Regions from separate parts of the Mus musculus genome. Here all the other regions are reported to be linked to region 4. The links are microRNA targets in miRTarBase. Many come from high-throughput screens and were not tested one by one. Region 4 holds a microRNA gene; each other region holds the end of a gene's coding sequence.
Evidence for each region. Region 4 holds the annotated microRNA mmu-miR-339-5p (UCCCUGUCCUCCAGGAGCUCACG, at 1,329-1,351, opposite strand). A microRNA usually pairs through its seed, bases 2 to 8, with sites in the 3' UTR of a target mRNA and lowers its output. Matches are read on the target gene's strand: a 7mer-m8 pairs with bases 2 to 8, a 7mer-A1 pairs with bases 2 to 7 and ends in A, and an 8mer does both.

Region 1: the mRNA of Ctsa is a reported target of mmu-miR-339-5p. Seed matches in the 3' UTR shown: 8mer at 2,186-2,193 and 7mer-m8 at 1,265-1,271.
Region 2: the mRNA of Psmb11 is a reported target of mmu-miR-339-5p. The part of its 3' UTR that is shown has no 7-base or 8-base seed match.
Region 3: miRTarBase lists Pex13 as a target of mmu-miR-339-5p. Seed matches in the 3' UTR shown: 7mer-m8 at 2,106-2,112.

Annotation. Positions count from the first base shown.
Region 1 is chr2:164,838,946-164,842,032 of GRCm38, reverse strand. It overlaps Ctsa (cathepsin A), which reads right to left. Exons shown (of 15, transcript NM_008906.4): 14 at 3,084-3,087; 15 at 1,001-2,882. The coding sequence ends at 2,799. It overlaps Pltp (phospholipid transfer protein), which reads left to right. Exons shown (of 16, transcript NM_011125.2): 13 at 1,496-1,538; 14 at 1,649-1,712; 15 at 1,843-1,919; 16 at 2,205-2,515. The coding sequence ends at 2,327. Among named protein-coding and RNA genes, the nearest start is that of Ctsa, 6.7 kb to the right of the region's middle.
Region 2 is chr14:54,625,922-54,629,008 of GRCm38, forward strand. Psmb11 (proteasome (prosome, macropain) subunit, beta type, 11) reads left to right here. Exons shown (of 1, transcript NM_175204.4): 1 at 1-3,087. The coding sequence ends at 314. Among named protein-coding and RNA genes, the nearest start is that of Psmb11, 2.2 kb to the left of the region's middle.
Region 3 is chr11:23,646,415-23,649,501 of GRCm38, reverse strand. Pex13 (peroxisomal biogenesis factor 13) reads left to right here. Exons shown (of 4, transcript NM_023651.5): 4 at 1-2,219. The coding sequence ends at 210. Among named protein-coding and RNA genes, the nearest start is that of 0610010F05Rik, 14 kb to the right of the region's middle.
Region 4 is chr5:139,368,380-139,371,466 of GRCm38, forward strand. It overlaps Mir339 (microRNA 339), which reads right to left and starts at 1,366; the gene lies at 1,271-1,366. The region is part of intron 2 of 3110082I17Rik (RIKEN cDNA 3110082I17 gene); the gene reads right to left.

The sequences.
Region 1 (3,087 bases), not on the chromosome of region 4:
GAGACCCCCTGCGTCTGGAGATTAATGGCAGGATGTTGAGATTAAAGGTCTGTGCCACCTTGGCAGCTCTCAAATTTGTATGTGTGGGTATGTGTGTGTGCATGTAGGTGCAAAAGTAATGCCCTCTCCTGGAGTTCCAGGACGTCGTCAATTGTGTGTCATGGGTGCTGGTTCCCCCGAGAAGTATGAGCTCTTAGACACTGAACCATCCATCAACTTTCTCCTGTCCTCTTATTTGATAAGTGTGTGGTATGTGTGTGGAATGTGTGTATGCATGGTGTGTATGTGGTGTGGTGTGCGATGTGTGTGATGTATGCATGTGGTGTGTATGTGTGTGTGTGGTGTGGTGTGTAATATGTATATGTACGGGAGCCTGGAGAGATCAGAATGCTTCAGATACCCTGAAGCTGGAGTTATAAGCCATGTGAGCTGCCAGATGTGGGCACTGGGAACCGAATTCAGATCCGCTAGAAGAGCAGCAAGCCTCCTCCCCCCCCCCCCCTTTTTGTTTTGTTTTTCAAGACAGGATTTCTCTGTGTAGTCCTGACTGTCTTGGAACTTACTCTGTAGACCAGGCTGGCCTCGAACTCAGAAATCCGCCTGCCTCTGCCTCCCAAGTGCGTGTTCCACCACTGCCCAGCTAGCAGCAAGCCCTCTAAGCCATCTCTTCAGTATTGTGCCCCTCCTCAAACCCATTTTGAGACAAAAAAAAAAAAAAATCTCACTGGGGCTGTTTGCAAACTCAAAGAAAGCCACCTGCCTCTGCCTCCTGAGTGCTGGGATTAAAGAAATGGGCCAACACAGCTGGCAGGCTTTCCTTTTTGTAATTAACTCGTGTGTGTGAGCTTATGAACATATGCATTTATGTGTGAGGGCACTCACGTGTCACACAGTGCATTGATGGTCAAAGGTCAACCTGTCCAGTCTCCCCTCTACCATGTGTGCCCTAGGGATCAAACTCAAGCAGTCGGGCCCTTTACCCACCACACTGAGCCATTTTGCAGAGCCATTTTAATTCTTTTGAATAAGTTTGGTATCTGACAGAGAGTAAAGATTGTTGGAATTTCCTTAGATAAAACCATACTTATTTACCTAGCCGCAGAGCGTGGCACATAGGCATTCCTGACAAATGAAAAACAGCAGGCGCCGGGCAGTGGTGGCGCACGCCTTTAATTCCAGCACTCTGAGGCAGGCGGATTTCAGAGCTCCAGGCCAACCTGGTCTACAGAGTGAGTTCCAGGACAGCCAGGGCTACACAGAGAAGCCCTGTCTCAAAAAAAAAAAAAAAGACAAAAGAAAAAAAAAAAGAAAAGCAGTAGGCTTAAAGAAAGGGGGCTCCAGAGACCAAAGGCACTCAGGGATGCACACCTGGGAAATGGCAGCTACCTGAAGGATGATTGGATAGAACTGGGAAGGCTGTCACTTGCTGCCATCTTTTAGGTAGGGCCCAAGGAAAGGGTGTTCCCAGGTTTCACGGTGTATTTCTCTCCCACAGGTTTCAAATCTACTCAAATCAGTCTGCGCTGGAGTCTCTGGCGGTGAGTTGGGGATGGCAAAGGGTGGGTCCAGGCCTCGGGGCAAGTTGGCCGCTCACTCAAACCTGTATGCACTGTCTGTCGCCCCCCCCTGCCTTTTTTTTCCCCCTCAGCTGATCCCACTGCAGGCCCCACTGAAGACACTGCTGCAAATCGGAGTGATGCCTTTGCTGAACGGTAGGGACTGAGGGTGGGAGGATGGAGTGGGGACACGGACTAACAAAGGGGGGACGGCGGTGGATGGTGGACATGACGACACAGATGGACTGATGGACACCCAGGCTGAGCTTGCCTCTCTCATCCACAGAGCGTACCTGGCGTGGGGTGCAGATCCCCCTTCCTGAGGGTATCAACTTCGTGCGTGAGGTGGTGACCAACCACGCGGTAAGTACATTGTGGAAAGGAGGCCGTAGACCAGGGCATTCCTGTCCCTACAACACCCCAGTGCTTGTCTGTTTTCCCGAAACCCCTTTACACTAGTTGCTCCTTCACATATATATTATTTAAGTAGTAAAGATTTAACTTAGAAGCAGGGCCATGCTCCAGAGAACATACGCCACGCCGCAAAGCAGCTGGGGCCCCTGAGGGGATTTGCTCAAGAGTCTTGTGTTTGTTTGGAGGCTGTTTCCAAACAACTGAACCAGCCAGGCTCCCTGTCCCCTCCCGCAGGGCTTCGTCACTGTTGGGGCTGACCTCCACTTTGCCAAAGGGCTTCGAGAAGTGATTGACAAGAACCGTCCTGCAGACGTTGCGGCCTCCCATGTCCCCCCACCCTCTGCTGCAGCTGCCTGAGCCCATCACCCCACCTGGGTGGCTGGCATTCAGGAACCTAACTGAAGTCTTCTCTGCACCCCCTGCCAACCCCTTCCCATCTACAGTGTTAGTGGTCCCGGTGCCACAGAGAAGAGCCCAGTTGGAAGCTATACCCGATTTAATTCCAGAATTAGTCAACCATCAATTAGAATCCATCCACCCCCCTCCTTGGGTTTCTCTAGCTCTGTTGGGGTCCTGGGGTGGTCAGTTTTTATGCAGTCGGGGAGGTCAGGCCACCCCACGATGGCCGGAACAAAGTGCTCACTTGGTCCTAGGCTGTCTGTGACGCCCTGAGGCCCAGGCTGGGATGCACCAGGCTGTGAGAAGTCTGGGCAGTTTTAGTACAGGACTTGCCCCACGGGAGCATTAGCGGAGGACTCCTCTCTGCTGAGAGAGGCCGAGAGGGGCTGATCAGGTACTGAGGATTTCCATGGGTTGCAGCGGAAGCTATCAGTAAGGCTCTTTGTTCAGGAACCTCGAGAACATGGTAAAAGCAGCTCGAGGCTTGTCCGTGGGGACCATGTGTCCGGCACCCTGGGGAGCAAAGCTTTATGAGAGATCTGGATCCCCAACATGCATCACCCCTCACTTCCAGCCGCTTCCTTCTTCACCTCCTCACCCTGCAAGCTCGCCCAATGCATCAAGGGTGACCCAGAATCATCAGAGAGAGACGGGGAAGTCACACCACTCCCCCGCTCTGGCCCCGGCTGTCCCTCACTAGGCACAAAGTCCTACCTTG
Region 2 (3,087 bases), not on the chromosome of region 4:
AGGAAGCCTACACCCTGGCCCGCTGTGCTGTGGCCCATGCCACCCACCGTGATGCTTATTCAGGGGGCTCAGTGGACCTCTTCCACGTTCGGGAGAGCGGATGGGAGTATGTATCCCGCAGTGATGCTTGCGTGCTGTATAGGGAGCTGCAGAAAGCCCGGAGCTTGGAGCAGGAGCTGGAGGCAAAAGCTTGTGGAATCTATCCTGAGCCTGCCACGCCGCAAGGTGCTCGAGAATGTAAAGAACTCTTTGTGGAGCAAGAGGAGGTGACGCCAGAAGACTGCGCGATAATAATGAAGACTGAAACAATGTAAGAAAGGACAGAACTTGGGGACTGCCAGGACAAGGGACTAGGGGATGAAGCTGCCTTGGCAGGGTTAGTTCTGGGAGCAGCCCCGGGCATCTGGCTCTGGCCCTTTTGGGTTTCCTGCTTTGTTTAAGTTCCCATCCTCTCTGCTTCCCAGAGCTACTGATGTCTCTGTCCAACATGTTCTGATGATACCTGATGGATGGTATTGCCTCCTTCTGCCTCTAAAGTGACTAAACAAACACTCATTGCATGCCTACTTTGTGCCAACTGTCATGCTATGTGCTGGGCCCTCTTTTGTCATTCTACCCCAGTTGGTATTCTCATTTTGGTCCTTATCTGGTTTGTTTTCTCTTTCAGCTGGTCACCTTTTCAACTTGGTCAGGCTGAATGGCCAGGAGAGAGCCTAGTTTAGTGATGGGCTTGTCTCTGCTGGCCCTCCACACCCTGACCCCCACCATGACTGTAATGGCTATAATGATTCCACCTATACTGAGTGCAGTTCCCATGACAGCTTTTGCAAGCATGATTGTTTATTGAAGCTGGGTCAGGTTTAGAGAGTTACAGGACTTACGCAGGTTACAGTAGGTGACAATGTTGTGGGGCTTAAGACACTCTTAATCCTTCCCCAGCTCTCTGCATCTTTCCCTCCCAGCCTCCACTGTCTTGCCTTGTTTTTCTGCCTGCATTGCAGGCTTCTGGGGAATGGGCCAAACCCCTGCCTGTTGTCTGGAGATGAATGAACTCCAAGGAACTCATGGGCTTGGAGGGAAGAGCTCAGAGAAGCTGCCCATTCCCGGTCTCATCTTGCTGTGTTGGTCAGGGTTTGAGCCATGCCCTGTAGCACACACATCCCTGCTCTCTACCCTGCAGATCTCTCCCTGCTTCTTCGCTCCGGCCTCTCCTGGTTGCTCCTGCTGGAGAATGAAGACCAGAGGCAGGGTGCTGTGCCTCTGGTGCCAGCTAGCACATCTGGCCTTCCTGGCCTGCTCTGGACGTCCAGGATTTCAGCTTCAGGAACACCACTGCCTCCTCCTCAGGGCTGGGCATCCAGAGAAAGGGAACCCAAAGAACTTTCCTCTCACCTGAAGCCTCCAGTCCTAAGACTGACAACTGCTTCTCCTTCCTTGACAGTGTGCACTTCGAATTAAGAATTCTTTGAAATCAGACTTAGACTTACAGATTCTTACCCAGACTCTCCAAACTCTGGAGAGTCAAAAGGCAAGCTGGGGAGCCCAGAGAAAATGGAGGATGGGCAGTGGTGATGCACAACTTTAATCCCAGCACTCAGTAGGCAGCAGCAGGCGGATTTCTGAGTTGGAGGCCAGCCTGGTCTACAGAGTGAGTTCCAGGACAGCCAGGGCTACACAGAGAAACCCTGTCTTGAAAAACCAAACCAAACCAAACCAAACCAAACCAAACCAAACCAAACCAAACCAAACCAAACCAAACCAAACCAAACCAAGCCAAGCCAAACCAAGCCAAACAAACAAACAAACAAACAAACAAACAACCCTACAAAAAACAAGAAACAAACAAACTCCCAAACCCAGAGTGCTACAGAAAGGTTCCCAATACATGGGGTCTGGCTTGCAAGCCAGGGTAGAAATCTGGCTATTGGCCTTCAAAGCATCCTTCATCCCCTGCAAACTTCCTAGCCTTGGGGAAGAGATATGATCCTCCAGGAGTGACATCCAAAGGTTAGGGATACTGAAGAAGCAAATGAGGAGAGGTCATTTTTTTTTTTTTTAAGATTTATTTCTTTTAATGTCCTGTTTTCAAACACACCAGAAGAGGGCATCAGATCCCATTACAGATGATTGTGAGCCACCGTGTGGTTGCTGGGATTTGAACTCAGGACCTCTGGAAGAGCAGGCAGTGCTCTTAACCTCTGAGCCACCTCTCCAGCCTGAGAGGTAACTTTTGCACAGGCATAAGTGGGTTCAGATTCATGGCCATTGATGAGGGTCTTATGTCCAGCTGTCGGGGAATGAGTTAAGATAGGCATCTGCACTTCAGTGTGGTGGGCGAGGCATGTGGTGTTGTTCTGTGGAAGAGAGAGGAGCAGCACTTGACTCAGAGCAGCCGCTGCAGCCTGTGTAGCCCAGCGCTAGCCATCATGCACAGTGGAGAGCCACAAAAAAGAGGAGGTTGGGGCGGGGCTGTATAGGAGCCTATGGCTGCTCCTCACCCTGGTCTACTCTGAGGCTTTCAGGCAGTGAACAGAGGCAGGGGCAGAGGGATGGTCTGGGACCTGGGATGAACATCTGGGACCAGCCAAAGGCTGCTGTGCATCTCAATCCCCTGAGATGCTCTGTGCCTCTCTTCTCAGACTGGACAAGGAGGCTAGAACCCTGAAAGAGCAGAACTTGCATCTACATCCGTCTCCTCCTCTCTCCTCTCTCTTCCTTCCATGATCTTATTCTTGGTCTTATTCATGATCTTATTCTTATTCTTGATCTTCATTCTTCTTGGCAGGTGATGAGATATGTAAGCTTACAGGTTTTGCTGATGAGCTTGTATCCCCAAACCCTGTAAGAATTTCGAGGGGCTGAGAGATGGCTCTGCAGGTAAAGGTACTTGCCACCAAACCCGATGACATACGAGTTTAGTCCCCAGGACTGACATGTGGAAAAGGATAGGAAAAAGATACACTGTGTAAATACATGAACCAGGAAAACATTTAAACAGTGTTTGAGGAAATGTTTGTCTTGTTGTTGTTGTTGACTTTAAATATGAGTGTATGCATGTATGCATGTATGTATGTATGCATGTCACAT
Region 3 (3,087 bases), not on the chromosome of region 4:
GGTAAAAGAAGAGGCAGAAAAACAATAGAATCGAGTACAATGCTCAAGCAACAACAGTCTTTTACCAACCCAACATTAATTAAAGGAGTCACTACCACCAATCCTTTGGATGAACAGGAAGCTGCCTTTGAATCTGTTTTTGTTGAAACTAATAAGGTTTCCAGTGCACCTGATTCTACAGGGAAAAATGGAGACAAACAAGATCTTTGATGTGTTTCATGTTTGTGGGCAGGTGAACAATATTTTAGAGTATTTTAAAAAATCATTTCTTACAGAGAAATTAATTTGCAGTTGAATGAAAGCATTTGCTCGTGGCTGTGCCGAGTGTTCTGCTGCTAGAAGTTATGTAGTCACACGCTAGCTGCTAGTCAAGTGATCTGTCTACACTTGACTGTCTTGTGGACCACGAGGACATTTGTTTCACCTAGTTTTTAAGATTATGGAGATAGTTGTCAGCTCCATCTTATCTCAGTCCCTAGGCTTATTGGAACAGTAAATTTGATGAACAGTAGAACACACAAGCTGCCTCAGAAGGGATCATTAACGCTTCTTAAAGTTCTGAGTTAGTTGACTTGAAGTCTTCAAAAATTGAGTGATAACATCTACTTATAAGAACAGACAAAAGGCTAATTTTTTTAACCTTATAAATAAACTAAATAATAAAAATTTTCTCATCTGTATTATGTCCAGTGTTGAATTTACTTTAGGTGATGTGTTTTTACCAGCAAATAATTGATAGTATTATCTTTTATTGTATTTATAAAAGTGTGTTCTTAAGAGGTCACTGGAGCACTGTGAAGAAGATGGTTCTGACTGACAGCTTCTTAACCTCCTTACAGTGTCACAGATCTCATCCTGAGCGAGTCACAATATATAGCTAGATCTCATCCTGAGCGAGTCACAATATATGGATTTTTGTTCTTTTCCTCCAACTAAGGCAGGAGTCCTTTAAGATTATACTTAATGATATAATCAATTCTGGCAGTAATGATTTTTAATCCTGAATTTTCTGCTTCTATATAAGATAATTACTTTTGTAAATTCCAAAATCAGGTTATACATTAAATATTTGAAATATGTCTGTCGGGGTTGGGGATTTAGCTCAGTGGTAGAGCGCTTGCTTGCAAGGCCCTGGGTTCGGTCCTCAGCTCTGGAAAGAAAAACACAAAATAACAAAAGGACCAAAAAAACCCAAGGTAACTGAAATATGTCTGTCACATTGGATAGATTTCTTGTGGTTTTCACTACTGAGACTATAATTTGCTTGCTATTTCAAATACGATGACTTTTTGTTTGGTTGTTTTTTTTTGCTTAATAGTGAATTTTATGTGTTTCCCCATAGAATTGGAAGCTTTATACGCTTGCTGTGAATATACTACAGATTAGAACTGTCAGAAATAAATCACAGAATTCATTTATAGACACTACTAACAGCTGTGGGTTTTGATAAAAAGTGATTTGGGTTTTGCTTCTTTCATATAGATAGGTTTATCAAATAAATAATTCTGGAGGAGTTCATATTAAACCATGTCTAACCCAATATCTGCTCAGAACAGAAGCACTAAAGACTTCCTAGGAAGCCCTTTTTTGAAATGACAATATAATAAGTAATGTATCTTTTCATCTTAAGATAGAGAGAAGCATTTACGGTACTCATTTATCTTTTAGGCTGATTTTTCTGACATTCAGTAGTAACTTTTCAGTTGAGAAAGGGGGTTGAATAATCTACCACTGAGGCATGGCCCTGACTCTCAAAGGTTTTAACAAATATTTACTTCTGACTTGAGATGCCTGAACTTTTCTCATGTCTAAATGTTACTCCAGACATCTAGACTAAGCACTAGGAGTAAAGTAGAAATAAAATGTTGAGTCAGCACTATTTAGGTTTGGGGTGTTGTTTTGTTTTAGAAGATGAGCTTTAAAATAGGATTTGTGACTAATATTTCAGTTGTATAGGAAAGAGCTTAGACAAATAAATGATAAAACTTTCTTTTAGGGTCTTTATTGTTTGGCTGTCTATGCTAGATTATATAGTATTAACCTAATAACTACCTGTGTCCATTCTTTTTTATTTGTTTGTTTGTTTGTTTGTTTGTTTGTTTCAAGACAGGGTTTCTCTGTATAGGCCTGGCTGTCCTGGAACTCACTTTGTAGACCAGACTGGCTTCGAACTCAGAAATCTGCCTCCCAAGTGCTGGGATTAAAGGCATGCGCCACCACCGCTCGGCCTGTGTCCATTCTTTATTAAAGTCTTAGAAAAACAGTTGTAGGACTAGAGTGGCAGAAAGTTTTGTGGTTTAGAGTAAATGAATAGATTGGTCACAGCTCCAATATAATTTTAGGGACTTCCTGAAGTAGCATTACATCACAGGAAACTACACTTTCAATTAAATAATTCATAAGCTACAGTAAGAAACTAGATATCAGAAGCTTTAATTGTATTTTGTCAGCTTGGGAAGAAAAAGATTAAAGGACTATAAATGCATTTTCATGTTCTACATCTTACTCAAGTCTTAGCCAATTATTCATTTACCTGAGTGCAGCGGCTCTTTATTTTATGCTGTCTTTACTGGAAAAAGAAATGAAATACAGTTAAATTTGTATTTTTAATAGGTTGTGAAAATACTTTACTGGAGAATTAAAAATATTTGAAACTTAATTTCTTTTTTTAAGATTATAGCTGCAACAGAACCATAACATATACTCCACACAAAGCACAGTACAATGTGAATGCATGCATGTTCCTCTCTCTGCTAATAACAAGAAGAGTGTTTCTTTTAGTGTTCACATGTACTGTTAGTTAAAACGCATTAAGTGGTAAAGGGGTGTTTATAAGAAGAACCAAAGAACTCTTCTAACAAATAGATGTCATGTTCTAAATGTGATAAGTGAGTTATTAATGGTATGTGATTTTCTTTGGTTTGTAACACTATGACTTTACCGTATTTTCACGTGTACATTTCACAGAAGATTCTACGTTATAGCTGGAGGAAAAGTACTTTATCAAAGATGCTACACAAAACAAAGTACAGCCTGAATGCGTGTGTATTTCTCCTGTGCTAAGAACCAGAAGAGTGTTTCTTTTCA
Region 4 (3,087 bases):
CTGGCCCTGGCCAGGGCATCACCTGTGCTGGGGCAGTATGACTGGGGATATTCTCTTAATAGGGATTTGTGCTGTCCTGGGGAGGCAGTCAATGCCCAGCGTTTTTGAGCATCCACTGGGCTCAAAAACATCTTGTTCAAACGTTCTTGGAATTGTGGAGGAGGTTGGTGAATATGTCCTGAGGATTGAAAGTCCAAGGCTAGCTTGAGCTTAGCAAGTCTGTCTCAAACATAAACAAAAACCCCTCAAAGGTTAGTTGTAGACCTTGGCAGTAGAGGCCCTGGTAGCCAGTGCCAGACACACAGCTCTGTAGGACCTTCTTTCTTGGAATGACTGAGTCAGGTGTAAGGATGAACACAGGTGAGGGTAGAAGGACCCTCTGTTGTCCCCACCCCATCATGTGACCAGAGCAGCTGTACTGGGGGCGCAGCTGAGTGGCAGGGAATCCAGTCATTTGACCCGCTTCACACAGGACAGAGTCCCAAGGGCACAGCAGATGGTCGATGGAGCCCAGCACCTGGCCTGTCTATCACATACCCAGGTGGTGCCTCCAAGGCTGGGGCATGGTCTCTGGTCCCTACCACCCCTATACCTGTTCCCCAGACATTGGGAATGGCCTACAAGTGACAGCGATGTTTGTGGGGGGAGACCACGAAGCCTGCTGAGGCTGACGAGCTGGGTGCCAAGGCCAGTGGACTCTGTTCTCATTCCCCAGCCCAGAATCAGCCCTCCTCCATTCAGTTGGAGCCAGCCCGAGTCCAGGGTCCCACAGAGGTGTTCGACCTTGAGAGCCCATTCCGGTTCACAGACCTCAGCAGACTGCTGCCCGGCTATGCACTCACTCGGTAGCAAGATTTCCAGAAGACAAAGCAAAAGCACAACAACATAATGAAGAGAGGGGAGAGAGTTTGTTTTAAAGGAAGCTTTTTATTTGGAGGTAATTACTGAAACACAGTGGATGTAGAAGTGACCCAGGGACACCAACTGCCAGGACATAGGTCACACGCAGTAGAATCAACTGGTGCTACAGAGGACACACACAGAGGGAGAGACCTGGAAGGCTCCCTCCTGGCTCCTCTCCCCTCCCCCTCAGTGTCTGCGTAGGTTAAGATGATTAGGACCCCAGAGGGGTCAGTGCCTTGCGTCACCGCACAGAGAAACCAGAGTCCCCTCCATCCACGGAACAACCTGCAGATCTGCACAATCGAGTTCAAGAAGGTACAGCATGAACAGCCAGCGACTGAGCACCCTGGTCTGCAGGCAAGGGTCTGTGGACAGTGCAGGGGTGGACACCGGCTCTGTCGCCGAGGCGCTCACAGGCAGGCATACGTGAGCTCCTGGAGGACAGGGATAGTGGCCACCCCGTCCAGCTCTGCACAGCTGTGCTCTCACCACCTTGGTGCCAAGGCAAGGGTCACACCCACCTAGGGATCCCCTTCTAGATATGACTTTTCAAATGCACAAAATGTCACTTAAGCCCCATGCTTGAAAAAGACAAAGATGACAGATGCGGCACCCTGCCTCCTCAGTGACCTGAATGGCGGAAGTGAGCAGCAGATCTGATGTATCCCTGAGAAACAGGAGACTGGGCCATCACCAGCTGCCACAGGACACACGAATCCCCAGAGGTGATGTTGTCACCGCCACCAAGCCCAGGCTCTGTCCAGGCCACAGGTCCTTCTGCAGTCACGGCAGAAACACCCTGTGTCACTTACTTGGGGGTTAAACACAGGCTAAAGCCTAAGTCTTGACCTCAGGCTGCCCAGAGAATTAACTTTCTCACAGACTCCAGCACAGACCACAAGGCCTCTAGGCTGTGAGTCCCCGACTATACATCGGTTTTCTTGGCTCTCTGGCCTCAGCTCACCTGACTCAGGCTGACTGGCCCCACCAACAAGGTTATGAAGGTCCCATGGGTTTTCTAGGTCTAACCTCTCCCACTGCTATCTCACATGTCCCCAGTTCCAACACAGGAGCAGACAGACCCCAGGAGCTTGAACAGGGTGCAGATTTCCTTGACTAGGCTGAGGGGCTGGCTCCAGAAGATAAAACTTCCGTCCCTTTGCCTGCAGATCACAGGAACTGGTCCCAGCAGCTCTGGCACAAGTTTAAGTGGGAAGCCCAACTCGGCCATCAGTGAAGCTCCTGGTCCAAGAGCAAGGACAGAGTCAGCCCCTGCCACCTGAATCACGGGCGTGAGGGCGACACACACAACAAGCTCCCACCTAGGTCTACTCAGAAATGGCAGAAAGCAGCCAACAGGCAGGGAAGAGGGCCCTGCAGCGGGGGAGATGGGGAGGTCTCTAATCAGACCCCTGCAGTAGGAGACCCTGAAGTGAAGGAGAGGGAGGGGCTTGCATCTATAACTGAGCATTCCCAGGCCAGGAAAAGCCTGCTGACACAAGAACCTGTGTACTGTGCAGAGCCTGCGCTGCGTCCCTGAGCCGAGCGAGACTCAGTCTCATTTCAGCTGCAGTCTGCCTCCTTCGCCCTAGCTGGAGGCCTTCTTTCTAGCCAGGGCCAGGTACCCACATCCCCTTCTCTAGAGCTTCCCGGCATGCCCACCACCCAGGGATGCTTGTTCTAGCCTGGTTTCCACGTGCCCCACTCCCAATTCTATTTGAGTGTGCCGGTAATCAAAATGCTTTTGATTTTGGCTTCCTCTGGTAGAGCAGCTGTGTTCACACATCCCAAACTGCCTAGTGGACCCCCAAGTGACATTAAGGTCATGGAAGCTTTCTTGCTGTGGCCAAGGAAAGGCCATTTCTCCTGCTACAACGGGCCCAGCAACCACCCTGCAAGCAAGGTCAGATGTCTCTGCTCACCTGGGTAAGTGACTCCCTAGCAATCCAAAACTCCCCACCCCCCTTTTTTTAAAACAGCAGAAATGTGAAGACAGCTCTGAGCCAACGAGGGCAGAGATGACCAGAACAAACACTGGGGCACAAACAACACTCGCAGGATCCTCTATAGTTCCTACTTTTTGTGCTGATCTTGCTATTATAATGCAGAGCGGATTTCTAAAGCTTGAAAAGCCCACTAAGCAAAGTGTGGGAGTCATCCAAGGTGCGGGTGCAAGCAGCTACA